4 linked regions of the Stegostoma tigrinum genome follow. The protein of the gene in region 2 interacts with the protein of the main gene of each other region in a pairwise test. Links are inferred from orthologs where the notes say so. Each region holds a gene or a part of one and is shown on either strand. Other genes may lie near its edges. The genes, in order: heterogeneous nuclear ribonucleoprotein U-like protein 1, wwp2, fbxl18 and arrestin domain-containing protein 3.

Region 1 (7,313 bases), on a different chromosome or scaffold from region 2:
AGCTACCCTGTGCTTCGGGGGAGGGGTTGGGGGTAAAAGAGATTATTCAGCCTCTGACCTGTTCTTGTAGCCATAGTGTTTACATGGCTGGTTCAAATGTGTTTTCTGGCTGATGGTAAATCTAGGATGTTGACAGTAGGGATTCAGTACTCAATGCTATTCAATGTTAGAGGGAGAAGGTTTGATACTATTTTTGTTGGAGAATGATATGATGATTACCGGCTACTTAAGTGGGCAAGTGTCATTTGTGTCACACATCAGCCTAAGACTGAATGTTGTTGATCTCTTGCCTTGTGCTTCGGTATCTGAGGAATTGTGAATGGTATGAAAAATGCGATCATTACCAAACATACCCACTTCTGACCTTACATTGAAGGTAGGGGTCATTGAAACAAGTGAAGCTGGTTTGGCCTGGAACTTTATTATTCTGAGGAACTCTAACAGTGATGTCCTGGAATGGAGATCATTGCCTCCAGCAACCCTAGCCAATTTTTCTTTGTATTAGGTATGACTCCAATGAGTGGATAAATTTCCCCTATTCCAATTGTTCACCTCATTTCTTTTTTGATAGTTAAATCAAGGTTGCAATGAGATCTGGAACTGAGTGGCTAGCGCAGAATCTAAATTGTGTAAGTGAGTGGATTGTTCCTGATCAAGTGCTGCTGGATGTCACAGGATTGCTGACTGAGAGTAGACTGATATAGCAGAAAGTGGATGGATCGGATTTAGTTCTTTGAGAAGGTGACCAAACAGGTAGATGAGAGTAAACCGGTTGATGTGGTGTATATGGATTTCAGCAAGGCGTTCGATAAGGTTCCCCACAATAGGCTATTGTACAAAATGCGGAGGAATGGAATTGTAGGAGATATAGCAGTTTGGATGGGAAATTGGCTTTCTGAAAGAAGACAGAGGGTGGTGGTTGATGGGAAATGTTCATCCTGGAGACCAGTTACTAGTGGTGTACCGCAAGGGTCAGTGTTGGGTCCACTGCTGTTCGTCATTTTTATAAATGACCTGGATGAGGACATAGAAGGATGGGTTAGTAAATTTGCAGACGACACCAGGGTCGGTGGAGTTGTGGATAGTGACGAAGGATGCTGTAGGTTGCAGAGAGACATAGATAAGCTGCAGAGCTGGGCTGAGAGGTGGCAAATGGAGTTTAATGCAGACAAGTGTGAGGTGATGCACTTTGGTAGGAGTAACCGGAAGGCAAAGTACTGGGCTAATGGTAAGATTCTTAGTAGTGTAGATGAGCAGAGAGATCTCGGTGTCCATGTACACAGATCCTTGAAAGTTGCCACCCAGGTTGACAGGGCTGTTAAGAAGGCATACAGTGTTTTAGCTTTTATTAATAGAGGGATCGAGTTCCGGAACCAAGAGGTTATGGTGAAGCTGTACAAAACTCTGGTGCGGCCGCACTTGGAGTATTGTGTACAGTTCTGGTCACCACATTATAAGAAGGATGTGGAAGCTTTGGAAAGGGTGCAGAGGAGATTTACTAGGATGTTGCCTGGTATGGAGGGAAGGTCTTATGAGGAAAGGCTGATGGACTTGAGGCTGTTTTCATTAGAGAGAAGAAGGTTGAGAGGTGACTTAATTGAAACATATAAAATATTCAGAGGGTTAGATAGGGTGGATAGGGAGAGCCTTTTTCCTAGGCGAGCACAAGGGGGCATAGCTTTAAATTGAGGGGTGAAAGATATAGGACAGATGTCAGAGGTAGTTTCTTTACTCAGAGAGTAGTAAGGGAATGGAACGCTTTGCCTGCAACGGTAGTAGATTCGCCAACTTTAGGTACATTTAAGTCGTCATTGGATAAGCATATGGACGTACATGGAATAGTGTAGGTTAGATGGGCTTGAGATCGGTATGACAGGTCGGCACAACTTCGAGAGCCGTAGGGCCTGTACTGTGCTGTAATGTTCTATGCTTTTTGTGACACAACCTACCTAGACAATTTTCCACATTGTTTGGTAGGTGTCAGAGCTGTGCTAGAACAGTTTGGCAAGAGACGCAAATAGTTCTAGAGCACAAATATTCTAGCTACAGGGCCTTTGTTGGAAATATTATCATTGTATGCTGTATATTACTCATTTATCACTGAGTGAAAAAAAATTGAAGTTTACTATGTGCGATGCTGGATAACTCAGGGAAAGGGTGGGATGCATCATCCACTCAGCACTCTGCCTGGGGATAGTTGTAAACATTCTAGCCTTGTTTTTTTCACACTGACATACTGGGGTCCACTGATATTGAGAACGAGGACATTTTTACAGCGTCCTCCTCCAGTTATTTAATTGAGCACCAACATCATGTCTGAATGTGGCATGGCTGCAGAGCTTCAATCTGGCCCATTGGTTGTGGCGTGACTTGGCTCTGCCTATATTGTTCTGTACTTGCTGTTTGCATGTTAGTCCTGTGTAGTGGCTTCACCAACTTGGCACCCTGTTTTGACTGTTGGTGCTTCTGTTTTATTTTTCTATGATCCTTTTTAAAGTAGAGTTGGTCTTGCGGCTTGACGGCAATGGTAGAGTGAGGGATATATGGGCCATGCGGTTACAGATTGTTGAATGAAAGTCTGCTACAGCTGATGGCTCAGAATGTCTCTGAGATGACCAACTTTTGAGCTACTAAAGCCGCCCTGAATTAATTCCAGTTTTCAAGTGTCAGTAGCATACAATACAATGGAGGATATCCCAGTGTGAAGACAGGAATTCGGCCCCAGAAGGACTGGACTCTGATCGCTCATCTGTGACAAGTCTGTGGCACAGTTCTCCCAGATAATGAGAGGCATTCACTTGGGAGGCTGTTTCTTATTGTTTCCAGTGTGAAGGCTAATGCTGGGTGATCTGTTGTTATTCAGCTTTTGGTGGTAATTTTGAATGATGGTTGCTTGCTAGATTTTTTCAGAGGGTATTTGAGAGCCATCCAAAATCACATGTTGGCCAGGCTAAGCAAGGACAGCAGATTGCCTTCCCAGACTATCTTTGTTGATCAGAGCTTTGAATGCAGATTGTTGAAGAGGCCACTTTGAGTACTGTTCACAGTTCTGGTCACCCTGCTATAGGAAGGATATTAATAGGTAGGAGAGAGTGCAGAATAGATTTTCAAGGATGTTACAGGGACTGGAAGGTTTGAGTTATAGGGAGTCTGGATAGGTTGGGATGCTTTTCACTGGAGTATAGGAGGTTGTGGTGTGACCTTATCGAGGATTATAAAATCGTGAGGGTTATAGATAAGGTGAATAGCAAGGTCTTTTCCCTAGATGGCTTATTTGAAAGGGGAAATATGTCAGTGACCTGAGGGGCAAATATTTCACACACACAATGGTTCATATGAGGAATGACCTGCAGAGGGAATGGTAGATGCAGGTGCAGCTACAATATTTAAAAGACATTTGGACAGGTACATGAATAGGAAAGGGTTGGCGCAAATGCAGGCAAATGGGACTAGTTTCATTTGGGGAACTTGGTTAGCATAGACAAGATACACTGAAGGGTCTAGTACTGTGCTGTATGACTCTAAGGAGCATTAGTGAATCAGATGAGGCTTTAGGACAATCTGGTAGTTTCACCATTATTATTGTGAATTGACCATTTTATTTCAGGTTTATTAATTAATAGAATCCAAGTTCCCCCGGATCCAGGAGTGGCATGATCCTTGAGTCATTGTAAATACCTGTGGTTTATTGGTTTAGTGACATCACTACTGTTCAATTATCCCCCATTTTAATATTATTTACTTGTAAAATTTTAGTTATGGATTTTTTAAAAAGTTCCTTTATTAGATGTACCTCTTTAACAAAAGTGAAGAGTTTTTTTACATCTCTTGGGACTTCACTTTCATCCCTATTGAAAAATATCCTTTTCCTTTGGTGTAGCCGAATGGTTTTGATTGACATTTGAACAGCCCATTCAGCTTTCGAGATAATCGGGAACGCTGTTGTCCTATGGTAGTAGCGGATAGAAGTTGGAACTTGGACTCCGGATGTTGATTGGGCCTTTGGGCACAGAGCCTACTCTCCTCTAAGGCCGAATTTTATTGGCCAACCCGCCCATACGCACACCAGGGCCTCCAAATTTGACTCCCCTTTCAAGCTGCGGGGAAGCTAGGCCAATGAGAAGCGGTGACTCAAAGCAGCAGCGGAAGCAAGGGGCAGGCCGGCTGCGAGACGGCTCCTGATTGGCGATTTGGTAACAGCAGGCGCATTGTGAGCAGCTGATGACCAATGAGGAGCGCGGAGAGAAAAGTGGGTTTGGCTGCGCCTGGCGCCACCAAAGTGGGTGCAGGGAGACGGCGGCCATTTTGTTTCGTCAGACGCCGCGGCAAGAGAGAGGAATTTTCTTTATAGAATCCAAAGTGTCCTTTTTTTTACCTTTTGCCAATCGGTTGGAGCAGTGCACTTATTATATTTTTTCCTTCACGTGGCCTCCCACATTACTAAGCCGCTTTTTTGGTTGGTGGTGGGGCATTTTTAAAAGAAATTGAGAAAATAGTTTTAATTTAAATAAACGGGAATGAGTTCGCTGGACGTGCGGAAACTAAAAGTGAACGAGCTCAAGGAGGAGCTGCACAGACGCGGCCTTGACACAAAGGGCCTCAAGGCGGATCTGCAGGAGCGGCTGCAGGCAGCTCTGGACCGTGCCGCTGACGAAGAACAAGAAGCAGCCAAAGCCGCCGCCACTGCCGAACGGCAGCGACAGGAGGAGGCGGAGAGAGCGCGGGCAGGTGAGGCCTAGGCGTGCATGCGCGGAGCTTCCGGCAGGTAAGCCGGCTGTGCGCAGGCGCGGATCCCGCCCACGGACTCACCTTGAAATGGGGAGGGAGGGGACGACTGGAGTGAGATATTCTCGTTGCATTCGGTCGCTGATCTCATCTATTTCCTCCCCCTTTTAAATTACTCGACTGTTGGCTCTCAACCCATAATGCAATAGAATCTGCAGTTAAAATAAAACAAAGAACTGCGGGTGCTGAAGGTCTGAAGCAGAAGTTGCTGGAGAGATTCAGCGTCTGTGGAGAGAAAGCAGTTCTGAGTTTCGACTCCAGTGAATCTGCAGTTATTTCTGGATGGAAGTCTTTGTGTTTTCAAGAGGAATCATCTAGTTGTTTGATTTCCTGGAAAGACTTATGCCCCATTTTAGCTTTTAGTAGACTGCATTTGATTCTGAGCTTATTTACAGAGTCTTAAGAAGCACGGCAGAACGGCTGTTTCCCCCCTTCTAGTAGCCTGACATGTGCTGGAAACAGATTCCATAGTTGGCCTTGAAAGAGAATTTGATATGAACCATAACTAGAATCTCTGTAGCGAGTTTTGAGAACATTTGTAGCTCAGGTTGAGGTTCTGGATAATAAAATGTGAGGCTGGATGAACACAGCAGGCCAAGCAGCATCTCAGGAGCACAAAAGCTGACGTTTCGGGCCTAGACCCTTCATCAGAGAGGGGGATGGGGAGAGGGAACTGGAATAAATAGGGAGAGAGGGGGAGGCGGACCGAAGATGGAGAGTAAAGAAGATAGGTGGAGAGAGTATAGGTGGGGAGGTAGGGAGGGGATAGGTCAGTCCAGGGAAGACGGACAGGTCAAGGAGGTGGGATGAGGTTAGTAGGTAGCTGGGGGTGCGGCTTGGGGTGGGAGGAAGGGATGGGTGAGAGGAAGAACCGGTTAGGGAGGCAGAGACAGGTTGGACTGGTTTTGGGATGCAGTGGGTGGAGGGTAAGAGCTGGGCTGGTTGTGTGGTGCAGTGGGGGGCGGGGACGAACTGGGCTGGTTTAGGGATGCAGTAGGGGAAGGGGAGATTTTGAAACTGGTGAAGTCCACATTGATACTATATGGCTGCAGGGTTCCCAGGCGGAATATGAGTTGCTGTTCCTGCAACCTTCGGGTGGCATCATTGTGGCAGTGCAGGAGGCCCATGATGGACATGTCATCAAGAGAATGGGAGGGGGAGTGGAAATGGTTTGCGACTGGGAGGTGCAGTTGTTTGTTGCGAACTGAGCGGAGGTGTTCTGCAAAGCGGTCCCCAAGCCTCTGCTTGGTTTCCCCAATGTAGAGGAAGCCGCACCGGTTCAATTCGTCCCCTCCCCCCACTGCACCACACAACCAGCCCAGCTCTTCCCCCCCACCCACTGCATCCCAAAACCAGTCCAACCTGTCTCTGCCTCCCTAACCGGTTCTTCCTCTCACCCATCCCTTCCTCCCACCCCAAGCCGCACCCCCAGCTACCTACTAACCTCATCCCACCTCTTTGACCTGTCCGTCTTCCCTGGACTGACCTATCCCCTCCCTACCTCCCCACCTATCTTCTTTACTCTCCATCTTCGGTCCGCCTCCCCCTCTCTCCCTATTTATTCCAGTTCCCTCTCCCCATCCCCCTCTCTGATGAAGGGTCTAGGCCCGAAACGTCAGCTTTTGTGCTCCTGAGATGCTGCTTGGCCTGCTGTGTTCATCCAGCCTCACATTTTATTATCTTGGAATTCTCCAGCATCTGCAGTTCCCATTATCTCTGAGGTTCTGGATGTGAGTTTGCTCGCTGTGCTGGAAGGTTAGTTTTCAGACGTTTCGTTACTTTTTTTTATTTGAAAAAATATACTTTATTCATAAGATGTACAAAAAATAAAACATTTATACACCTACCCAGTCATGCAAGTCGCTCCGGGTTACCCAGGGGGTACGTACACCAACTAAAGGAAAAAAAACAAACAAAGAAAAAAAAAGCAAAGAAAATACCCCGGCAGCCGTCACCCCGCACAGTCCCAGTTGGCTCCCTGACCAGTTGTGGAAGGCACCAGCTGGGTCCAGTTACCAGATAGGGCCCTTTTTTCTATTCTGGATGAGGGGTTTCATACTGTGGTCTTTCCCCACCGCGCCTTGGCGGCGGCTGCCCCAAGCTTTAGCACGTCCCTCAGCACGTAGTCCTGGACCTTGGAGTGCGCCAGTCTGCAACATTCGCTCGGGGTCAGTTCTTTCAGCTGGCAGACCAGCAAGTTGCGGGCAGACCAAAGAGTGTCTTTCACCGCATTGATGGTCCTCCAGGCGCAGTTGATGTTGGTCTCGGTGTGCGTCCTGGGAAACAGCCCGTAGAGTACAGAGTCCCACGTCACGGACCTGCTCGGGACGAACCTCGACAAATACCAATGCATCCCCCTCCAGACCTCCTGCGCATAGGCACTCTCCAGAAGGAGGTGATCAACAGTCTCGTTCCCCCCCGCAGCCACCTCAAGGGCAGCGTGCGGTGGCGCAGAGATTCCGGACATGCATAAAGGATTTCACTGGCAGAGCCCCTCTCACCGCCAGCCAAGCAATGTCCTTGTGCTT
Region 2 (7,623 bases):
GGATGGTACACAGTCAATTTAAATTGTTTTATTCCTAAGCTATCCAGAACTTCCTTGGATAACTGATGTATATTTGACCCTTGATCTGATGGTATCTCTGTGGGTAGTCCGTACCCAATAAAGAAACTTGAATAACTCTTCTACAATCCTTTACAGCAATACTGTACAATAGATTCGCTTCTGGAGTACAACATAGGTTTACAAAAATGTTACCTTACCTAACTATTGAGTCATGAGAACAGATCATATAAATTAGGCCTGCATTCTCGAGAATTTAGGGGGTTGAGGAATGCTCCAATCAAAGTCTTCAAGATATTAGCAGGAAAAGACGGGTAGATAAAGAGATTATATCCAAAGGTAGTGACTGTTTGGAACTCTCAGGATTTAATGGATACACGATCAATTGTTAATTTTAGATATGAAAAGAAATTTGTTGTTAACACTCGTACTGAATCATAGAATCTCTACAGTGCACCAGGAAGCCATTCAGCCCATTGAATCTGCATCAGCTCTTGAAAAGCATCCCACCCAAATCCAGCCCCCAATTCTATCCTTAAAACTCGCCATTACCATGGCTAATCCACCTGATTTGTATATCCTACTGGATACTAAAGAGAATTTAGCATGGTCAATCCACCTAACCTGTCGATTTGGACTCTAGGAAGAAACTGCAGCACCTTATAGAAACACACACAGACACAGGAAGAACATGCAAACTCCACACAAATAGTCATGGAATAGAACAAGGTGCCTGGAACTAGGGGGCAGCAGTGCTAACCACTGCACCACCATATCATTAAATAAAGCTATTAAGGAATATGGGCCAAAGTCAGACATATGGTGTTAGGCCACAGATCATGGCTGATCAGCAAATGGTGGAATGGACTTGAGGGATGAATAGCCTACTCTTGTTCCCATAAATAAGACAAGACTTTTCATACTAGAGCCCCCAACCCATATCTCCCACCATAATATGAAACTGCTCTTCATCTTTAACACAGTATATTAAATTCTTTGAGACGCTGAGATAACAAGGTGTAGAGCTGGATGAACACAGCAAGCCAAGCAGCATCAGAGGAGCAGGAAAGCTGACGTTTCGGGCCTCGACCCTTCACACTTTTCTGATGAAGGGGCTAAGGCCCGAAACGTCAGCTTTCCTGCTCGTCTGATGCTGCGTGGCCTGCTGTGTTCATCCAGCTCTACACCTGGTTATCTCAGACTCTGCAGCATCAGCAGTCCCCACTATCTCTGAATCAATTTAGTACACTGTATTTTTCCTCTATTTATTGATTTTATTGACACCATCCTTTTGTTGTATGTTAAATATTCTATGCAAGAAGAGCGGTCTTTGGGAAGTCAACATGCTATTTGAAATACTGAAACGTCTTAACTTGTGTTTATATGTATAGGAACCCACATTTCAATAAAACGCTGATGTAATTGTATCAAACCTTCACAATTGTCAGAGGAAAATAACCCACGGTTGTCCAGCTCTGCCAGCATTTTTTTTGACAAGTACGCATATGCAAATAAAATATTCACAAACTAGAAGCTTAGTATGAATATTCAAGTTTTTAAATTATCCATTCAACCAGCATAAACGGAGGGCGGGCTTTAGCAGCAAGCTCAGTGCTAGCGTTAGGTACTTTCAATTTTGCATCAACAGTAAACAAGAGCCTGGAATTTCCTACATGGGCATGATCAAGATCCTCGAATCAAAAATCGCAGCCAGTCCCGCTGACGCACACCTAGTTACCAGTGAGTCTCAAAATACACCCAAACATAAAATGGGCACAAACCAAGTCAGAAACTATGATAAGCAGCATTTTTCTTTATTTAACGTTTCAACCGCCATTTCATGCGTATCAGCCGAACACGAAGAGTCTACAGAGATTAGTGGGAGCTGCAGGTGCTGGAGAATCTGAGATAGATGAAGGATCTAGGCCCGAAACGTCAACCTTCCTGCCCCTCTGATGCCGCTTGGCCTGCTGTGTTCATCCAGTTCTACACCTTGTTTACTAAGAATCTATAGCCGGAGCAAGTTGTTCAGTCTTTAAACGTGACTGGTGTTCCTGCCATAACAACGCATTGAACAGGAAGCGAACTCTACGAAAATACTTCTTTTAAATGAAAGCAACTCAATTTTAATAAAATTACTTCCTGCTGAATCCAAAGTCTGGTCGTAATTTCTACAAAACCTCAAACACATGGGAAGAAACCCTGCATCGCTCCATTCCCCCCCCCCCCCGGTCTAAATTCAGGTAAAAGCAAAACACAAACTATATGGAAATACAATCAAATGAATCCTTCTCTCCATAGAGGAGAAGTGAAACGATTTGGAACTTATGCCTGACGTAAACAAAAGTCATTAAGAAATTTTATTAACTACTGGAGTCCACACGAGCTTTGCCCTGACATTTCAAGCTCGGTATGTCATTTTAACGGCTCCCTACACCCACCACCCACAAACTGTAGCACCAATGCCGGCCCCTCTACACTTCAGTTCATCTAGGCTTGAAACATTTGCTTGCTCTGTCCATAGACATTGCCTGACCCGCTGTGATCTCCAGCATTTTGTTGTTTTCAGCACAAATTCTGGCATCTGCGGTCATTTGCCCCTACATTTAACGGGAGGCAGGTCAAGCAAATTTTCTGGAAAGCGGAATGTGAAGGTGGCCAGTGTGGGCGAGCAGCTTCCTTGGCTCTGAGTTCAAAACGCTGAAGACGACCCCGCCAGCTGCCCGACAAACCGCTGTTATTATTTACGACCGACTGAAAGCCCTGAACAGCACTCCCAGCCCCCCTCAGCCAAACACACAGCTCGCCGCATCCTCCTTTTCCCCACCACCCGCCTAAAATCACGCACCGTGTACTCTAAAACGATTAATTAGAGGTCCAGTTCCTCCCACCCACCATTAATAAATAGTCATATCAGCGGCCATCAGCCATCACTTTACCTCAATCGCCGCTTTCACTTCCGCCTTCTCTGCCAGCTGACTGCTATCACCTGACCGGAAGTAATCCTGCAGCCTAGCAACACCAAGGCTAAGTCTGGGCCTAGGCTTTGGAACCAGAACTGCTTGAGAGAAGGCCTCACCTGAGTGCAATGAATATTTTCCTTTATTGAAGCTATTGAGTTTAACATGTCTACAATGAGTCTCTCAGTCAACTTTGTTTTGGAGATAATGGGAACTGCAGATGCTGGAGAATCCAAGATAATAAAATGTGAGGCTGGATGAACACGGCAGGCCAAGCAGCATCTCAGGAGCACAAAAGCTGACGTTTCGGGCCTAGACCCTTCATCCTCTCTGATGAAGGGTCTAGGCCCGAAACGTCAGCTTTTGTGCTCCTGAGATGCTGCTTGGCCTGCTGTGTTCATCCAGCCTCACATTTTATCAACTTTGTTTTGATTTGCTTTAAAAATGTCACTAACTGGTGAAGGGTCCCAACCCGAAATGTGAACTTGCCTGCTGTGTTCTTCCAGCTGCAAACTGTGTTATCACTAGTAGGTGGAATCTAGGATAACGTAATGGAAAACCTTGTATTGCAATGCCCTGTGAATAGTCTAAAGTGCTTTACAACAAATTGATAACTGTTGAAGTGCAGCTATAACGATTATGCAGACTGATGTTGCTGCAAAATTGCAGAAGATACAGAAGCTTGAACACATGTACCAGCAAAGTTCAGGAACTTTCCTGACTCTTATTAAACTGATGAATGGACTCTCAAATAATGTGGATTTTGTTGATGTTGATTCTGCCAAGTGCACACCCTGTTCAATGTAATCTATATGCTGCTATCTTAAGTCTTCTTGATCTATACATCCTTCCTTACTATGATTTGCCTATAGTAAGTCAGAAATCCTTCAGGATTCAACAGGAGACAGTCAGTGAGCCATTTTTAGGGTTGTTACCTTTCTGCTTCTAAATTCTGTGTTGTTACACCTCCTCTTCAACACCACACCTGGGGAAGGTGCGAAGCTCTGAAAACTAGTGTTTTCAAATGAATTTGTTGGACCGTAACCTGATGTCATGTGACTTTTGACCTTGTCCACCCCAGTCCAGCACCAGCACCTCCACATCATGGCTCATAAACAAAACTTTTCATTCCACTTTGGTATGTGTGACAATAAATCAATCAATCAATCTTGCAATGTCCAAACAAACTCATTGGCCAGTTATGGTGGTGTTAGCAAAATGAGTTCAAACAGGAATGTTGGCAAAGGCACTGGAAAAACTGAAATAAAAGCAAAATACTGAGGATGCTGGAAATCTGAACCACAGAAAATGCTTGAGGAAACACAAAGTCTGGCAGCATCTGTGGAGAGAAATAGAGTTAATGTTGAGATATAACTCTTCCTCAGAACTTATTCTTCAGGACTTTTTCTTAGTCTGAGATGATTATTTTTCAGTTCTGAAGCCATATTGGACTCAAAATGTTAACAGTATTTCACTTGCTATGTTTGTTACAAACAACGCAGCCTTCAAGACTCTCGATCCTGACCACAGTGAGCAGTGTCTGTTCCCCTGACTGTACTGTCCCCAATTACAACCACATTTCTCTTTTTTTTCCCCCCAGACTGTTTCTTATCCACCCAATAGCCCTTGCTAGGACCAAGACTGTCAAACCTGTTAGACAAACTCAAGTGCTGAGACTTCTTTAGCTCTACTTCCTCGATCTCTCTACTTGCCTCGCTCATAGTAACATCCCTATGTCCCTGACTACTGACCAAATTTGAGGTAATCTAAGGGGTGTAACTGCCTCCTGAAAGACACCATACAAGTATTTACATAAAAATCCAAATCTTTGCTTTTTTAGTAGTCCCATCTGAAGGTGGTGAGTACTGCTGAGACATCTTGGTGAACATAAGTTGCTTGCTCTGCAGCACTTAACTTACCTTCACTAAATAATGTAAAACTAAAGGAGAAATGGATAAATTAGTTAGGTGGAAAATCAGAACTGTGCAAAATGTTTTATGCTTTTACAAATCAAAACAGAACTGGAAACCTTGAAGCAAATTGTGTCATTCTCCCAGATCCCTGGGGATTTATTTTGCGGGTATAGATGATGTTTTCAATGCTGTCTGTATCTGCATTCTTGGTGACTTGTTGATATATGATAGGAAGGGATCACATAATCAGAAAGAAATAAGGCATCCTCCTCTGGACCCGGACTGTGACACTACCATCAGGCATCAGGCCTTTTGTGTCTACGACAGTCACTAAACTCATTTCATCTGGTGATCTCCCCACTGTGCACTCCCCTCACCAACCGCCTCCAAGCTGATATTCCCCCAACCCATATAGCCTGCTTTTACTTCCTTCCCAAAAGCCACAAACAGGACTGCGTGGGCACACCCATTGTTACTGCTTGCTCCTGCCCCACATAACTCATCTCTTCCTACCTTGACTCAATTTTTTTCCCCCGTATCTAATCCCTTCCCACCTACATCTGCAATTCTTCTGATGCTTCATGTCAGTTTCTGAATTTACAGTTCACGGGCTCCAGCTGCCTCTTTGCCAGGCACATGCAGTCCTTTTACACATCCATTCCCCACCAGGATGTTCTCAAGGCTCTCTGCTTCTTCCTAGACAGAAGTCCTGAACAATCCCTATCCACAACCGCCCTCCTCCACATAGCTGAGCTGGCCCTGAACAACTTCTGCTTTACCTCCTCTCACTATCTTCAGATCAAGGTGTGGCATGAGTATTCACTTGGGCCCCAGTTGTGCCTGTCTCTTGCTAGGGTACATGGAACATTCCTTGTTGCTGTCCTACTCGGGTCCCTCCCCACAACTCTTTCTCTGGTACATCGATGATATCATTGGTGTTGTTTCCCTCTCTCATTTGGAGTAGGAAAAGTTTATCTATTTCACTTCCAAATTCCATCATGCTCACCTTTCTTTGATCCATCTCTGACTCCTCCCTTCCCTTCCTCACCATATCTGTTTCCATGTCTGACTCCAATAGTTGCCCAGACTATACATCATTACACCCCATTTTCTGTAAAGATTCCATTCCACTCTCCCAGTTTCTCTGTCTTCATCACATCTGTTCTGATGATGCCAGCTTCCACAAGGGGGCCTCCAAAATGTCCACCTTCTTCCTCAACCACAGATTTACCACTGTCCTGGCTGACAAGACCCTGAGCCATTTCTGACCCATCTCCCACACTTTGGCCCCACAGCACCAATAGGGTTGCCTTGGTCCTCACTTACCACCCCACAAGCATCCACATCCACAGGATCATTAGTCACCATTTCCACCACTTCCAGCAGGATGCTACCAAAACATACATCTTTCCCACCATTCTCTTTTTAGCCTTCAGCAGGGACTGTTCCCTCCAGGACACTGTGGCCCACTTCTCCTCCACTCCCAATGCCTCCTCACACTCCCACAACACTTTCCCATGCAATTGCAGAAGATATAACACCTGCCCATTTACTTCCTCCATCCTCACTGTCCAAGGAACCAGACACACGTTCAAGGTGAAACAGTGTTTTACCTGCATTCCATTCAATCTAGTTTACCGTATTCACTGCTCATTATGTGATCCCCACAATACTAGGGAGACAAAATGCAAACTGAGCAGTGGCTTTGCAAAACATCCATGTTCTGTTCGCAAAAATGACCCTGAGCTTCCGGTTGCCTACCACTTCTGCCTACCCTGACCAATGTTTTTGTCTTGGGCTTGCTGCACTGCTCCCATGAAGCTCAGCATAAGCTGGAAGAACAGAATCTCATTTGTAGCTTGGAGACCCTGCAGCCTTGAAGACTTGATATCAAGTTCAACAATTTTAGAGCTTAAGCACCTTCAATGTCCTTCCCCTAACCTTCACACACCAGGCTTTGTTATCACAAGGCTGCTACCACAAACAACCTAGCTTCTCATGGTGTCAGCTACAAATGGTCCCCATTAGCAACTGTTGATTCTCCCAGGCTGACCATTATCCATTCCTTTGTCTAATCAAGTGCTGTTGGTTCTCTTGACGTTTCAGGTCGGGACCCTTTTTCTGAAGAAGGGTCCCGACCCGAAACATCAAGCTTTCCTGCTCCTTTGATGCTGCTTGGCCTGCTGTGTTCATCCAGTTTCACACCGTGTTATCTCAGATTCTCCAGCATCGGCTGTTCCTACTATCGCTGTTGGTTCTCCCTGGGCTCCATCTCCACCCATCATTTATCCCACCTCCCCACCAACTCCATCTTCAGCATACATACCAAACTAGATACAATCAATTCTCTGGAAAGGTCACTGGAACTAAGACATTAATTCTGCTTTCATTCCACAGGTACTTCCAGACCTGCTGATTTTCTCCAGCTATTTCTGTTTTTGTTTGAGATGGGTAAAGCACCTCAATCATGATTCTATGGGTCTGGAAATGATGAGATCAAAGTTAAATGAATTTTTGAATATTTGATTTTCTTATGTGTTTGTAATAACTATTCAGTTGTCCCATTGCCAGAATACAATTGTAATAGTTGTTCTTAACTATGTTTTCGCAACTAAAATATGTCAAATATAGCATTCATTTGAGTGCACAGACCATCTTCAGATTAGGACATTCTTCAGATTAAGACTGCCCAGTCACTGAATACCATGAAAGAAATCATCACATGATATACG
Region 3 (6,989 bases), on a different chromosome or scaffold from region 2:
ATCTGCCAGTACTTCATAAAAGCATTATAAATTTTTTTTGGAAGAGGATAATACATCAGCAATTATATCTGAGAGCTTTGCATAGTAGTGGGAGCCTGATGACTTTGAGCTTCTACAGTTTAAATGACAAAATGGGAATTCATAATAGAAGAAGTCATAAAAGTGATAACAAAATGTAGTTATGCAGACAGGAAATGAGTGAAAATGTGTTTTTCAAATTCTGATTGAAATGTGTAATAAATATATCTTTAAAATTGTATATAATGTCTACTTTCAGCCCATAAACTCTCACATCTGTCATAATGAGACTCCATTAGGAGACACACATAAGGATACACATCAGAAATCCAACACAAACATCAAATTTGATGTTTAAAGAAAGATGAGAAAGTTTGAAGCTATTGCTGCCAGATCTGTGATTTTTTACTTGCCACAAATGTCAAACCAAAAGCCTAATAGTCGTATCAAACAGATACTCAAGCTCCACTGAACATAAATCTTCCACTTTCCCCATGGTTTGAACAAATCCTAGGTCCCTGCTTCCAAAGGATGCTACATCACATGCAGGAAAATCTAGGCAGTCCCAAAAATCATTTCGAAGTTCTTGACCCTGGAGCCAATAGTGCCAAAGCCAAGAACAATCCTCTGGTTCAATATTATCCTCAAAATGCAGGACTGCTTCTAAGCACAGACAAGTCCTATTTATTTTATCTGTTATTGTATAAATATCAGAGCCATGAAATCTCGAGGTAGTTCTCCTTTTGCAACTAAGTTGCCATGGGAAACTGGAGATCTCCATGGAATTTAAGGATTTAATTTTTAATCACGATTTATCTTGCATCTTAAGTTAACTTGTCTCAAATTAGCAATAAATACCAAAAGTATATCATATATGTGAAATGGCTGCAATATTCTTCAGGGAAAAGATGAATAAATTGACTTACTGATGTAGTACTCCTATTAATCGTTTGTATTGCAACAATGTTAACTTTTATTAAATGGTGAAGCATAGTCAAAGTTTGAACTGAGATGACCCTGGAGACTGGCCAATTTTTATACAAAGTAATCATCTACATAGTGAGAGGGACTCAATTAAATATATACCATTGCATATTAATTTCTAAACTTCAGGGATGCAAAGACAAAAGATAGTCCTGCAGAAACAGAACATTTGGCTTAATTTAAGTGTGTTTTCTGCTGAAAGAGTGAATAAACTGATGTAGAATCAAAGACAAGGTTTAACTTGGAGAAATAACAATTATAATGTATGTAACAAAAGCAAAACTGATGATAACAAACTATTATTGCTCATTGGTTAGTCCAGCGGAGAAAAAATTCTTTATTGAGGAAACCAGTTTATTACCTGAAGCTACTGTAAAGGCATTGACCTACCTAATTTCTGCTTATGTAATTACACTTTATTGCATTCTAGTAATGCTGAAATTATGTGAATTGTCATGTAGTAAGAGATGTGTAAAATGCTGCTGGTAAACATTTCAATTTGTAAATGTTTGAACGTCGTGAAATACAGAGTTCAGACCTGTAACATCTTTGAGGTTCCAATTGTTGTTTGTAAGAGCTGTCTTGTTGGTCACGTTTAACTCTAACTGCATACACATTATGCAGAACACTTTTTCTGAAGAAGGGTCCCGACCCGAAACGTCAAGCTTTCCTGCTCCTCTGAAGCTGCTTAGCCCGCTGTATTCATCCAACTTCACACCATATTACCTCTTTTATGCAAAACACTTGACTATATTTCAAGAATAGTTCTGATACTTGAGGAATAGATAGCACATCTAATAAGATAAATAAATCATTTTCTAAGAATTCTATTCCAAAAAAACATTTTGAAAGCTATTGTTGAGTTGATTCGTGGATAACCGCTATTTAAAGATATATTTATAATAATATTTTATAATATATTATATATATTTTAAAAATCAGCTGATAACCGATGTGCCTGTAGGTGGTGCTGTGATTAGGCCTTTTTCATGTTTTGATACTTTGGTCGTTTTCATTATATCGTTACATCTGAGGGCAATCTTTGTTAGTCCTTATCCAGAAATCAGGAAAACCTTCAAGCACAATCGGTCATCTTTTACTTCAAAACAAACATTAGGGCCCCTTTAGACAGAAGCATGAGTCCTGTTTGTTACTCATAGAATGCAGAAACGTATGGAAGGGTCCCTATCTTCACCATACTTGAACTCAGATAACTCAGTAATGTTCAAAGGTGAAACGTTGAATCCACCTGGTCCCTAATTGCTCTGCCAGCATTGTACGACACTGAGACATGAACATGAGAAAACTGTAAAGTTTTGGCCGTGACCCTGGAGAGTAACTCATCTGCACTTCTTCCATGTAGTGCTATGGGATCAGTGTCTTTACATCCACGTGAAAGTACGAAGTCTCAACCAAAAGATATCATCTCTGACAGTTTGGCACTCCCTCAGAACTGCATTCATGTGTCAACCAAGGCTCTGGAATCGGGCCCGAATCAGAGGCTAGTGTGCTGACACGACATATGTTTCACATTGAGCTCATACTAAGATAAGCCTCTGTTACATATTTTTAAAAAATAACACACACGTTATGAGTCAAGAAGAAACAGTGTAATCACCCTATTCCAATCGCTGTTAACACAGCAAGCCACAGTATGAATTGTAGTAATATACATTGGGCAGAAACTTTCGAAGTAGAATTGGACACGTACTTTGAAAAGAAAAAGTAAACAAATGTATGGATAACAAAAACAAAGTTCCTGGAAAAGTTCAGTAGGTCTGGCAGCATCTGTGGTGGAAAAAACAGAGTCAATGTTTCGGGCCCAGTGACGCTTCCTCGTTGTTCCTGATTTACGGCATCCGCAGTTCTTTCGGTTTTTATTTAAGTGTATGGATAAAATAGTGGTAGTCGGGCTAATGGGACAACTCATTCAAAGAACAATCATAGGCACAACGGACTGAATATTCTTCTCTGCTGTAAGACTCTGTGAGAAGACCTGGGGAAACGGAGTGAGACTGTTTTATTAACCCTTACAGAGCTATGGGTCAGACATAATGTCACACGATATCCGCTTAGAGAACCGAGTTTTCCCCGGCATTGGAGTCAATAACCGATCCTGGAAACACTATCATTTAATTTCAAACAAAATCAGAAGTTGCTGGAAAAGCTCAGCAGGTCTGGCAGCGCCTGTTAAGAGATATCAGTGTTAACGTTTCGGGTCCGGAGCCCCTTCCTTAGCACATCATTTAATCTCGACGAGTTTCCTTTTATGATTTGTTTAATTATGATGAGTTGTCCGCTTCCAAAAGAAACACGAGGGCAGGGCACTGTTGTAAAATTCTTAATAAAAACCAAAAGAACTGCGGATGGTGTAAATCAGGAACAAAGACAAAGTTGCCGGAAAAGCTCAATAGGTCTGGTAGCATCTGTGGAGGAGAAAACAGAGTTAACGTTTCGGGTCGGTCGGAACAGTTCTGAGGAAGAGTCACCGGACCCGAAACGTTAACTCTGTTTTCTCCTCCACACATGCTACCAGACCTATGGAGTTTTGTCCAGCAACTTTGTTTTTGTTTTATTTGTAAAATTCTTGTTAGATGCCACCGGGATGGAAAGGAAAACCCAATCTCTCGGATTCCAGGAAATGAAGCGCGGCTGAACAGCCTGTCCCTGTGTACCGCAGTTGCCTTCGACTTAGGAGCGGAGGTCGGGGAGTGAGTGGGGCGGACGCTTGGGGGAGCAGGCGGGGCGTAAGTCAGGCGGTACGTGTGGCGGAAGTCGGGCTTGAGCAGGCCAGAAAGTCGATAGGACATGTGGTGCGGCTGTCTGTGTGTGCGGGGCGGAAGTCAATGGGTCATGCGGGGCGGGTTTCACCGTGCGTGCGGGGCGGAAGTGATGGGGCATGCGGGGCAGAAGTCGATGGGGCATGCGGGGCGGATTCCACAGTGCGTGTGTCGGAATTAAGTTCCGGAGCAGCGCCGTTAGTTTGTTGGTGCAGGCAGAGTGAGTGGCAGTGGATTGGATGTGCTCTGTGTTCTGCCTCGGACTGTCAGGGAGCGTGAAATATTTTTATTTAAAGCTTTTCCTATTTACGTCTTGGTTATTCGTTAATATAGTTGTTTGTTGATGTGCTGCCTTGCCCCCGAGTGAGCTGTTAACTGAAGCCGGCGCCTGAAGAGATGGAGAGCGGGGAGGAGCCGGAGCCGGAGCCGGAGCAGGAGCAGGAGCAGGCCAAACCCCAACCCCGACCCCACACCCAGTCCCTCAACCTGACCGAGTTTTCCGATGAGATTCTGTTGACCATCCTGAGGTTTGTACCCAGCTGCGACCTCCTGCTCAATGTCCGGAAAGTGAATAGAAAGTTGGCGGCTCTGTGTATGGACAAGAGCCTGGTCAGCTCTGTCACTCTGCACAAGGAGTACCAGGTAAATCAGCAACCCACTGCTACTCTGTGCATCGTATTAATAGTTTGTGACAATGGGAGATAGCTGGAGTCTGAGCCCTCTGGAATACAGTCAGAAAGTGCTGCACGTATTTAGGATCAGACATTGAGCCAATGTTTCAATTTGGTGACTTTACAGCCGAATGTGAACTGTGAAATCCTTTCATTGACTTCCACTGTGTTTACATTCAGTGTTCTAAACAACTTCATTTCAACACCAAACTGGGATGAAATAAAAGAATTTCAATCTGAGCTGGCCATTGTTTCTAACCCCAGGAGCAAAAAAATAAATTGGGAGCTGGGAAGTAATGCATTAGCTTTCCCCAGTTGTAGTCTTGACTATTCAACTATATTGCCAAGACTAGATTCAGACATAAGCCAAATCTAGCACGTTGCAGTCAAACCTTTTTCTGTATCTATAAAAAAGGTAAAGTCACCATAATCCTACCAGACCATAGGGTTCTACTCTCTCTCTCAAAGAGAGATGATGGGGGGTGATTTAACCTGAGGGTGACCAGACCTCAGGCAAGGGGAGAGGCTGAGAAGGAGAATCATTTATCGTAACTCAGTTGGAGCAGGAATTTGAGTCCATGTTGTTTTCATTACTCTGCATCACAAACCAGCTGTCGAGTCATCTGAGTTAACTGAAATGACTCCCAATCAACTATCTCTCTTTGGAGTGATTTAATTTAAAAAAAAAACCTGGTCTACTTGTTGACTTTTAAACTTTAAAATTAGCTAAGAAGATGTACTGCTGCAAAACCCAATCAGCTACCAATTTTGTTTCTCTATGAATGGAATTGTAGAAACTACAGAATGTGATTCTTGTGAAATATGCTGCAAGAAAATGAAAAACCACTTGTTACCCTTACAGATCATTTAACAAGCACATTGATTAACATATGCCCTGCAAAGTCAGTTAACTTACCCTTATATGTGTAATTTCTGATGATCTTGGGCAAAGCAGATGCGATGGCTGATCAACTTTAGTGGCAGTAGAATAGCACTTCAGGGAGGGTTGTTAGGGGTGGTTTGCCTCAATTTTCTGCATTCCTGGTCTCCACTGCCAGCGTACTGTCAAGGACGTATGCAGCATCAAATTGACCGTTGATTCCTCTTTGTTCAACTAACATTCTGGCACTAAGGTGCCTGCACAGCATTTTAGTTTGTGTCTTTCCCCTACTTTATGTTCCATTATGATTCCAAACAATTTTCCTTTGAAATTTGCTCTAATGAAATACTTCCACTGAGCTCACTTGGTTGAGTCCAAGAATGATCTTCCTTTTTATTTTTCTGTTTATATTAATAAAAGTTGATAACTTAATTTGGTGAAGCATTTGATTCTGTGCTTTCACGTTGTTGTTTCATGTACAAGTGTAAACATAATTTTAGATTACCTTACCTGTGGCTGTGATCTCTTGCAAATGGTTGCATTATTCAAGGTTAAATCACCAATAGTTAAACCTTTGAAGGTTCACTCTTAATCTGGTATGTTGCTGGCCCATGGCACCGGCACCTCTCAGGTACAGGCAGTGGCTATCTTTGTTCTGTGATCTTTGCAAATCGAATGAGTAGCGAAGCAAGTGCTTTTGCTGATAAGTTAAAAAACTGTGAGGTTGACCAACAGTGCATTTTTTTTATTTGAGTCGTCATGTCAAGTTGAGAATGGTGTGTAGCTCTTTAATTTCACAAAACCATCTTTTTGAGTGGAAGGTCTGTCATATGTGGACAAAGTTTTAGTAACTCTGATTCTTTGATGACACAGAGATCATCTTGCTTCTATCAGGGAATTGCATACAGTTATTTCCTCGCTGATTGTTCAATTTTTTTTCTATCCTTTTCTGTCTTCCTGGTGGTCATTGACCAGATACCCTCTGATACCCAGGGCAAATGTTCACATTCCATGTGAAACTTCATGGTGAGCTTGTGTTTCCCAGGGGAGGGAGCACTCAGTCTGTCCTTGCTAAACTTTAGAGATTTGCAGTTTCTTCAGCCTGACGTGTAATTCCCTCAAAGCTCAAAGAATTGAAAGAAACACTGCCCTGCTAACCCAGAATAATCACTTGGTTGAATCTGAGATCTTCCAGTTCTGCATGTTTCAATTATTCCATGACAAATGACTAAACTATGAAGCAGAAGTTCCAAAATTTCAACAGTTACATGCATACATAAAAGTGCTTTGTTTACTGTAATAACAACTCCTAGCAAGCTTCACTGGAGAAAAGTCAGACAAAAATTGATAATGGCACAGATGCTCTGTATCTTTCTGAAATGCCGAAAGTATGTTCAAGTTGATATAAACTATGCTTTAGCTGGTGGAAGATTGCAGGGTCACTGCTGGGTGCCTGCTGAGTTAGCTGATATCCAGCAGAGGGAGCTTCGATTGGCCTGGCAGCTCCTCCCGTCCTTGGACGGATGGGACAGGGTATATGCGGACCAGCTGCAGAAGGAGGTGTAGAAGTGTATGAAAATCCAATGCGGGATAGGGCTAGGCTCAGCTAGCACAAAATTGCACAGTTTTTTGACTCTGAATGAGGCCTTGACTGTA
Region 4 (7,090 bases), on a different chromosome or scaffold from region 2:
GTTTTAATAGGGATTAGTGCCTTTTTTCTAAAATAAACTGTTAAATCACTAGAAACGTTCGAAATCCTTACACGGTGCAATTTGAAGATCAATTTCTATCCATAGCATTGTCATGGTTAAAAATAAATTTAAGAATAATGTTGAATCTAAAAAAATTGCAACATAATACAACATTATTTGTAACGATTTCTTGTGCAACTTTATTTTCCTCCATGAGGTTCTGCCTATTTCTCCCTCTCCCCTTTTTCTGCCAGCTCAGCACGCTCAGCTTTGCAGTGAAGCGGTAAACAAGTAGTGAGCTGTCAATCAGCAGCAGGCAGACAGCGGAGAGAGCCGGCCTGAACCGGAGCGAACAGCCCAGCTCAGCCGCAACCACATGGTATTCATCAGCAGCAGCAGAGCCCAGCCCAGCCTAGTCTGCTCATAGAGGGAGGGAGAGAGGGGGGAAACAAGAGCAATGGAAGGGAGGGGCTGGACACACACCAGGCGATCCATAAATGCAACCCATTCTCAACGCACACACGTAGAAAAAGGATTTTTTAGAATTTTTTTAAAAAAAGAAAATTGTTGTGTTGTCATTTGGACTTAAATTGTTGCTTCGGCCTCTTATTTTAAGGGCTTGAGAATCGCACATACGATTGACTACAATGTTCATCAAAAGGGGAGATTTAACGTTGCCACTGTTCTCAGAAATAAAATGACATCGATTATACACGTTCTAAATAATGATGCATTCCTGCCACGTCCCTGCTTTACTAAATCCACCCTTTTTATAAGACCATGAACTCTTAAAAGATTTTTTTTGCAAGAGTCGATCACTGAAGCAGAACAAACGATAGGTGATAGACAGCTCCACTGGCCAATCTAAAGTTAACGGCGCCTTAGCAACAGTCTAACAAACAGAGGAACCAATCGGCACGTCGGGGAGGAGCAATTGCAACAAAGCCAAGCTAAACGACAGAAAACTTGGTAAGACACAGCACGCCAAACTTCATTGTATTACAATTTCTACCATTTTGCAATGAATAAATGGCGACTGCACATCATTTACACGATGTACTGTGCAGATTGTAGAATCTCAAAAATATCTGTTTGAAGAAACTAGAAATAAAGTGAACATCTCTGCCTTTTCACTCAGCAAGGTTAAGACAAATAAGCACAACTGTATTCTTAATCCGCTGATCGATCCTCCTCCGGAATATTTAAGGTTGATGTAAATATGTACTGAAAAAAAACATGCCAGGGGCTCATTCTTTTCCGTATCCATGAAAGTAGATTGAAATAACGCAATTTCATAGAAGATTTGCAAATTGAATTGATACGGTATTACACCTATACCCACACACCGGTGTGGAAAAAGGTCATTTCAAGGAAAAAAATATATTTTTATTGGTAATATACATATATTACGAAGGTGCAAAGCAGCTGTTGCAAATTGTTTTTCTGCAAAATAGCATTAAGTCATCCTCACCATCTGACGGTGTAAACCAATGAGCGAAGAGAAGACTCACATTCCCCCTCCCTCCCCCCTAATGCTTGTCCCAAACAGGATTGAACCGCTTTGAACAAAGGGTGGAAACTTAGGAAAACAACTAACCTTTTTTGAATGTTACTGAATATACAGTAAATTTGCAATTGTTAAATATATAAGTTTACAAATATAATATTGAGACAAGCGATGTCACTGCAGAAATCTATATATAATCAATTTAATGTCAATGACACCTCTAAGTGATGGGTCGAATAATGTTGCTGTAAGCCACATAGCACATCAAATTTAGATTAAATGGCCCCATTGTATCGATTTAGAAATTATTTGAATAAGTTTTTCCTTTTAAAAATAACGAGTTTTCGAACATTTTTGGACTGTAAATTCAAAGACTTGGTCTGGAAGTCACTGCACACACATTACTGCAATTATTGAAAGGGCAGTCAGGCATTTATTTTCTATTGTAATTTAGACATTTGGTTTCAAATCTGAATTGCAAAGAAAAAAACGCTTGGATGGATGAAACTGTCACTAGAAATTCAACAGTGCAATCGTTTGGATTTCTTTTGCATATTACAAAATGACGGTCCTGAACAGGAAGAAAGGAGTTAAACCCTATAAATCGGTGCAGTAGAATTACTGCAATTTCGAAAATCGGCAAAATATTGTCACGAAATTTGTTTGAAACCATTGCTAACCACCCTATGTAAAATCTCACCACTCATTGGCAAACAAATTGGCAGTGAAAGGTGAGTGACAGGATACCGAACTTTTACATCTATGAAGTTATGTCAAATGAAATTTTAACTCCTTTATCTTAATACTTATAATAACTAATAACGTTTTATAACATTAAAATTGCACTTCTAAATTGGTCGTACAATCTGATCTCCATTGCTCACATTTTACAGTAGGGTTACAGTAAGCTGCACAAAGACTTTAAACAAAACAAACTCTCAGATCAGAAAGATTATTTGTTCCAGTTCCAAGCTTACCTCTATCATGCCCGATTAAAAGGTCTTTGTGGCTGAAATACTCTACTTCTTCAGTGTAGTTCTGAGTATAGGCAGTATTAGAACCAGCGTTTCTCGATTCTGTCCAGCGTACTTTCGCCTGTCCCCTCGCATGGATTGCAAGAGATCTCGCCCTGATTTCACCAGTAACTTCTATAATTACCCGTCCAGAGACAGAATCTCCGCTGGCATAGACGGGTATATTGTTATCATTAGGACAGTCATAGCTTATTGTAAAACTCTTCACCTTTCCCAGCACCATGGTTATTTATAATCTATGTAGATATACGTGACTATAAAAAAAGTACAAAAAAAATCTGAAAAGTGGGATCTTCACCACTGATCAGTGCCTTTTGCTGCAAAAACAGCAGGCACGACCACTGCAATATTAAAAAGGAGCATCTGGATTTGGACAGTTAGAGATGCTGTTGCCCAGCTTTTGGTCTGTACAAAAGACGGGGATATCATACCTACCACCTCACTTAAAACGGTTTTTGTGAAAAACAACTCCAGTGCGCCTGTGCATGATTCACCCTGCTTCCGCCTTGAGTCTAGAGCCAGTGCCAGCTGATCAACAGCTGATTGAGGTCATTCCCCCTTAAAGTAGACTAGTAGCACAGAGACAAACATATAAAATACATGTTTTTTATTTGCACCATTAAAAATATACATATATATAATATCAGAATTCGCAGTCTATCGTGCCGCAGGCATTTTTTGTACTAACGCGATTACAAAAGGTCATTAATTCCATCAATTCAATGCACAAGGCGAGCATTCGAATTAGCGCCACTCCCCGGTTTGTTGCAGTAACACATGGGTCACGTCGCATGCATCTGCCGCACTCATGTTGCATTATTCGTCCGTGCGGTAGCAATAGATTTTGAAGGCTTTATTCTGCACATTAAAATAGACATAACCGTCGCTGAAGCACAATACAAAATAATAATAGCGGTTGTTGCAATTGTTGCACCCAAGTAATATTCGGTGTATAATCCTCCTCTCGTCAGTCTTCTACACCTTGTCGACACCGTGTGGCTATTTCATGTAATAGCCAATTCCAAATTTACAACTACTTAGGGGTACTTTTTAGAGATAACAAGATGTAGAGCTGGATGAAGACAGCCTGTTACTTTTTACTTGTAACTTAATTTCCTTTATCCCCGACTTAACATCCGTTCGATTTATCACAGCATTCTAACGTTTCTCCGTCTTCTGTTTTACCTCGCACATATGTCATTTCTTTTCCACATCTATTTTGAACTTTTATACATTCACGTCTTTCACTCGCTTTCAACATTTCAGCTACTGCCCCGAAATAAGCAATCCACGCAATATTGATGTCTCTTTAAAAATATTTTCACAATGTAAATCTTTCTTGAGGCTCCATGATTTATCGGCGAAATGTAAAGATTGCGTTTTGACGACTTTTTAAACATGACGTAGAAGTAGGAATAAGGACCTTCAAACTGAAGCCTGTAACGGCATTCAATCTGACTCCTGCACTGCCACAATGATGCCACCCGAAGGTTGCAGGAACAGCAACTCATATTCTGCCTGGGAACCCTGCAGCCATATGGTATCAATGTGGACTTCACCAGTTTCAAAATCTCCCCTTCCCCTACTGCATCCCCAAACCAGCCCAGTTCGTCCCCTCCCCCCACTGCACCACACAACCAGCCCAGCTCTTCCCCCCGACCCACTGCATCCCAAAACCAGTCCAACCTGTCTCTGCCTCCCTAACCGGTTCTTCCTCTCAGCCATCCCTTCCTCCCACTCCAAGCCGCACCTCCTTGACCTGTCCGTCTTCCCTGGACTGACCTATCCCCTCCCTACCTCCCCACCTATACTCTCTCCACCTATCTTCTTTACTCTCCATCTTCGGTCCGCCTCCCCCTCTCTCCCTATTTATTCCAGTTCCCTCTCCCCATCCCCCTCTCTGCTGAAAGGTGTAGGCCCGAAACGTCAGCTTTTGTGCTCCTGAGATGCTGCTTGGCCTGCCGTGTTCATCCAGCCTCACATTTTATTATCTTCAACCTGATGACGGCTGGTTTGTATCGTTATTCTAGCTACTCGATGTGGTTCCATAAATCCTCAGTTACTCTGCCCAACGAAAATCCACAAGTGTCAATTGTGGAATTGTCAGTTGTGCAACATTAACGGCTATTAGGGTAACAAGGTGTGAAGCTGGATGAACACAGCAGGCCAAGCAGTATCTCAGGATGGCAAAAGCTGACGTTTCGGGCCTAGACCCTTCATTATTCCCTTTTCTTCACTAAGGGAAAATAGTTTAACTAACTCCAACTTCTCTATCAAATCTGTTATTCACCTTAATCACCTCAATTAGGCACTTGACAAACCTGGGGTAACAAGTGTGACAACATCTCAGAACAGATTGCGTGGAAAATATCTACATTTGGTGTTTTTTTAATGGACTTGGACATCACTAGCCCAGCCAGCATTTTTTGCCTATCCCCACAATTTGAGAAAATGGCAGAGTCACCTTTTTGAACTGCAACAATCCATGTGATTAGGGACATCACAATGGCTGTTAGGAAGGGAGTTCCAGGATTTTGACCCAGCAAGAGTGAAGGAATGACAATGTATTTCCAAGTCAGGATGGCATGTGCTTGAGGGGAACTTGCAGATGACGGTGCATCCAAGCAGATTCCTGCTGTTGTCCAGGGTGTACAGTTTGCAGGTTTTGATCATGCTTTCAAAGGAACCTTGGTGAATTAATGCAGTGCATCTCTGAGGTGGTACACAGTGCTGCTGCTGCATTGTTGGTGGAGGGAATGAATGTTGATGGTGGTAGAAGTGTACCATTCAAACAAGTTGCTTTTGGTGTTGAGTTTCACAATTGTTGTTGGAGCTTTATGCAAAGAAGTGGAGTGTATTCTATCACACTCCTGACATGTGCCTTGCAGGTGGTAGACAGGTGTTGTAGAGACAGGAAGTGACTAATCTTCTATACAATTCCTTGACTCTAACCTGGTCTTGTATTTATATGGCTTGTTCAGTTTCTAGTCAATGATAACCCATCGGATGTTCAGAAGTGATGCAGTTAGCAATGGTAATGCCATTGAATGCGAAGGGGAGACAATTAGATTCTTTCTTGTTGGAGAAGGACATTGCCTTGTAGCTGTGGGGAGTGTTTCTTCCACTTCTCAGCCCAAGCAGGACTATTCAAGCCTTGCTGCACATAGACAGATTGCATCAATATTTGTGGGGTCATGAATGGTTTTGAACACTGTGTACTCATCAATAACCATTCCCAGTTCTGATTTTATGGTAGGAAGAAGCTCATTAAAAGTGTAGCCGAAGGTATTTGGTCTAGGGCATCCTCCTGGGAATTCCTTGCACTGGATGTAAGTTTGCTCGCTGAGCTGGAAGGTTTGTTTTCAGACGTTTTGTCGCTTTTTTTTAATTTGAAAAAATACACTTTATTCATAGAATGTACAAAAAGTAAAACATTTATACACCTACCCAGTCATGCAAGCCGCTCCAGGTTACCCAGGGGGTACGTACACCAACTAAAGGAAAAAACAAAACAAAGAAAAAAAACAAAGCAAAGAAAATACCCCGGCAGTCGTCTCCCCGCACAGCCCCCGTTGGCCCCCTGACCAGTTGGGGAAGGCACCAGCTGGGCCCAGTTATCAGATAGGGCCCTTGTTTCTATTCTGGACGAGGGGTTTCATACGGTGGTCTTTCCCCACAGTGCCTTGGCAGCGGCTGCCCCAAGCTTGAGCGCGTCCCTCAGCACATAGTCCTGGACCTTGGAGTGTGCCAGTCTGCAATACTCGGTTGGGGTCAGTTCTTTCACCTGGCAGACCAGCAAGTTGCGGGCAGACCAAAGAGCATCTTTCCCTGCATTGATGGTCCTCCAGGCGCAGTTGATGTTGGCCTCGGTGTGCGTCCCGGGAAACAGCCCGTAGAGCACGGAGTCCTGTGTCACGGAGCTGCTCGGGACGAACCTCAACAAATACCACTGCATCCCCCTCCAGACCTCCTGCGCATAGGCACACTCCAGAAGGAGGTGATAGACAGTCTCGTCCCCCCCGGCAGCCGCCTCAAGGGCAGCGTGCGGTGGCGCAGAGATTCCGGGCATGCATAAAGGATCTCACTGGCAGAGCCCCTCTCACCGCCAGCCAAGCAATGTCCTTGTGCTTGTTTGAAAGTTTTGGCGATGAGGCATTCTGCCAAACGACTTTGGCAGTCTGCGTGGGGAACCACACGACAGGATCCAACCTCTCCTTTTCCCGAAGGGTCTCGAGAATTCTACGTGCTAACCACTGCCTGATGGCCTTTGTGTTTTGCGTCAGTCTTCACAGTGGAAGATGTGAGTAGTATGCCAACAATTAGGGAGAGCCAGGGGGCAGAGTTGAGTACGGTAGGCATTACAATAGAGAAAGTGCGAGAAAAGCTAAAGGGTCCAAAAAATTGATTAACCTCCTGGCCCCGATGGGCTACATCCTAGAGTTCTGAGGGAGGTGGCTGAGGAAATAGCGGAGGCTTTGGTCGTGATCTTTCAAAAGTCACTGGAGTCAGGGAAAGTCCCAGATGATTGGAAAATTGCTGTTGTAACTCC

What was found.
Region 1: the proteins of wwp2 (region 2) and heterogeneous nuclear ribonucleoprotein U-like protein 1 interact in binary tests that used the Homo sapiens proteins (3 or more experiments, as listed by UniProt). The link is inferred for Stegostoma tigrinum from reciprocal best matches to the Homo sapiens genes WWP2 and HNRNPUL1.
Region 3: the proteins of wwp2 (region 2) and fbxl18 interact in a two-hybrid assay, tested with the Homo sapiens proteins (3 studies listed by BioGRID and IntAct). The link is inferred for Stegostoma tigrinum from reciprocal best matches to the Homo sapiens genes WWP2 and FBXL18.
Region 4: the proteins of wwp2 (region 2) and arrestin domain-containing protein 3 interact in binary tests that used the Homo sapiens proteins (3 or more experiments, as listed by UniProt). The link is inferred for Stegostoma tigrinum from reciprocal best matches to the Homo sapiens genes WWP2 and ARRDC3.

The regions. Positions count from the first base shown.
Region 1 is NC_081392.1:7,469,697-7,477,009, reverse strand, and holds the start of heterogeneous nuclear ribonucleoprotein U-like protein 1, read left to right. Parts: upstream 1-4,294; 5' UTR 4,295-4,517; coding exon 4,518-4,728; intron 4,729-7,313.
Region 2 is NC_081369.1:42,090,326-42,097,948, reverse strand, and holds the start of wwp2 (NEDD4-like E3 ubiquitin-protein ligase WWP2), read right to left. Parts: upstream 3,009-7,623; 5' UTR 2,958-3,008; intron 1-2,957. UniProt on the Homo sapiens protein: E3 ubiquitin-protein ligase which accepts ubiquitin from an E2 ubiquitin-conjugating enzyme in the form of a thioester and then directly transfers the ubiquitin to targeted substrates.
Region 3 is NC_081376.1:10,999,982-11,006,970, reverse strand, and holds the start of fbxl18 (F-box/LRR-repeat protein 18), read left to right. Parts: upstream 1-3,982; 5' UTR 3,983-4,178; coding exon 4,179-4,424; intron 4,425-6,989. UniProt on the Homo sapiens protein: Substrate-recognition component of the SCF (SKP1-CUL1-F-box protein)-type E3 ubiquitin ligase complex.
Region 4 is NC_081356.1:92,345,286-92,352,375, reverse strand, and holds the start of arrestin domain-containing protein 3, read right to left. Parts: upstream 3,019-7,090; 5' UTR 2,765-3,018; coding exon 2,485-2,764; intron 1-2,484. UniProt on the Homo sapiens protein: Adapter protein that plays a role in regulating cell-surface expression of adrenergic receptors and probably also other G protein-coupled receptors.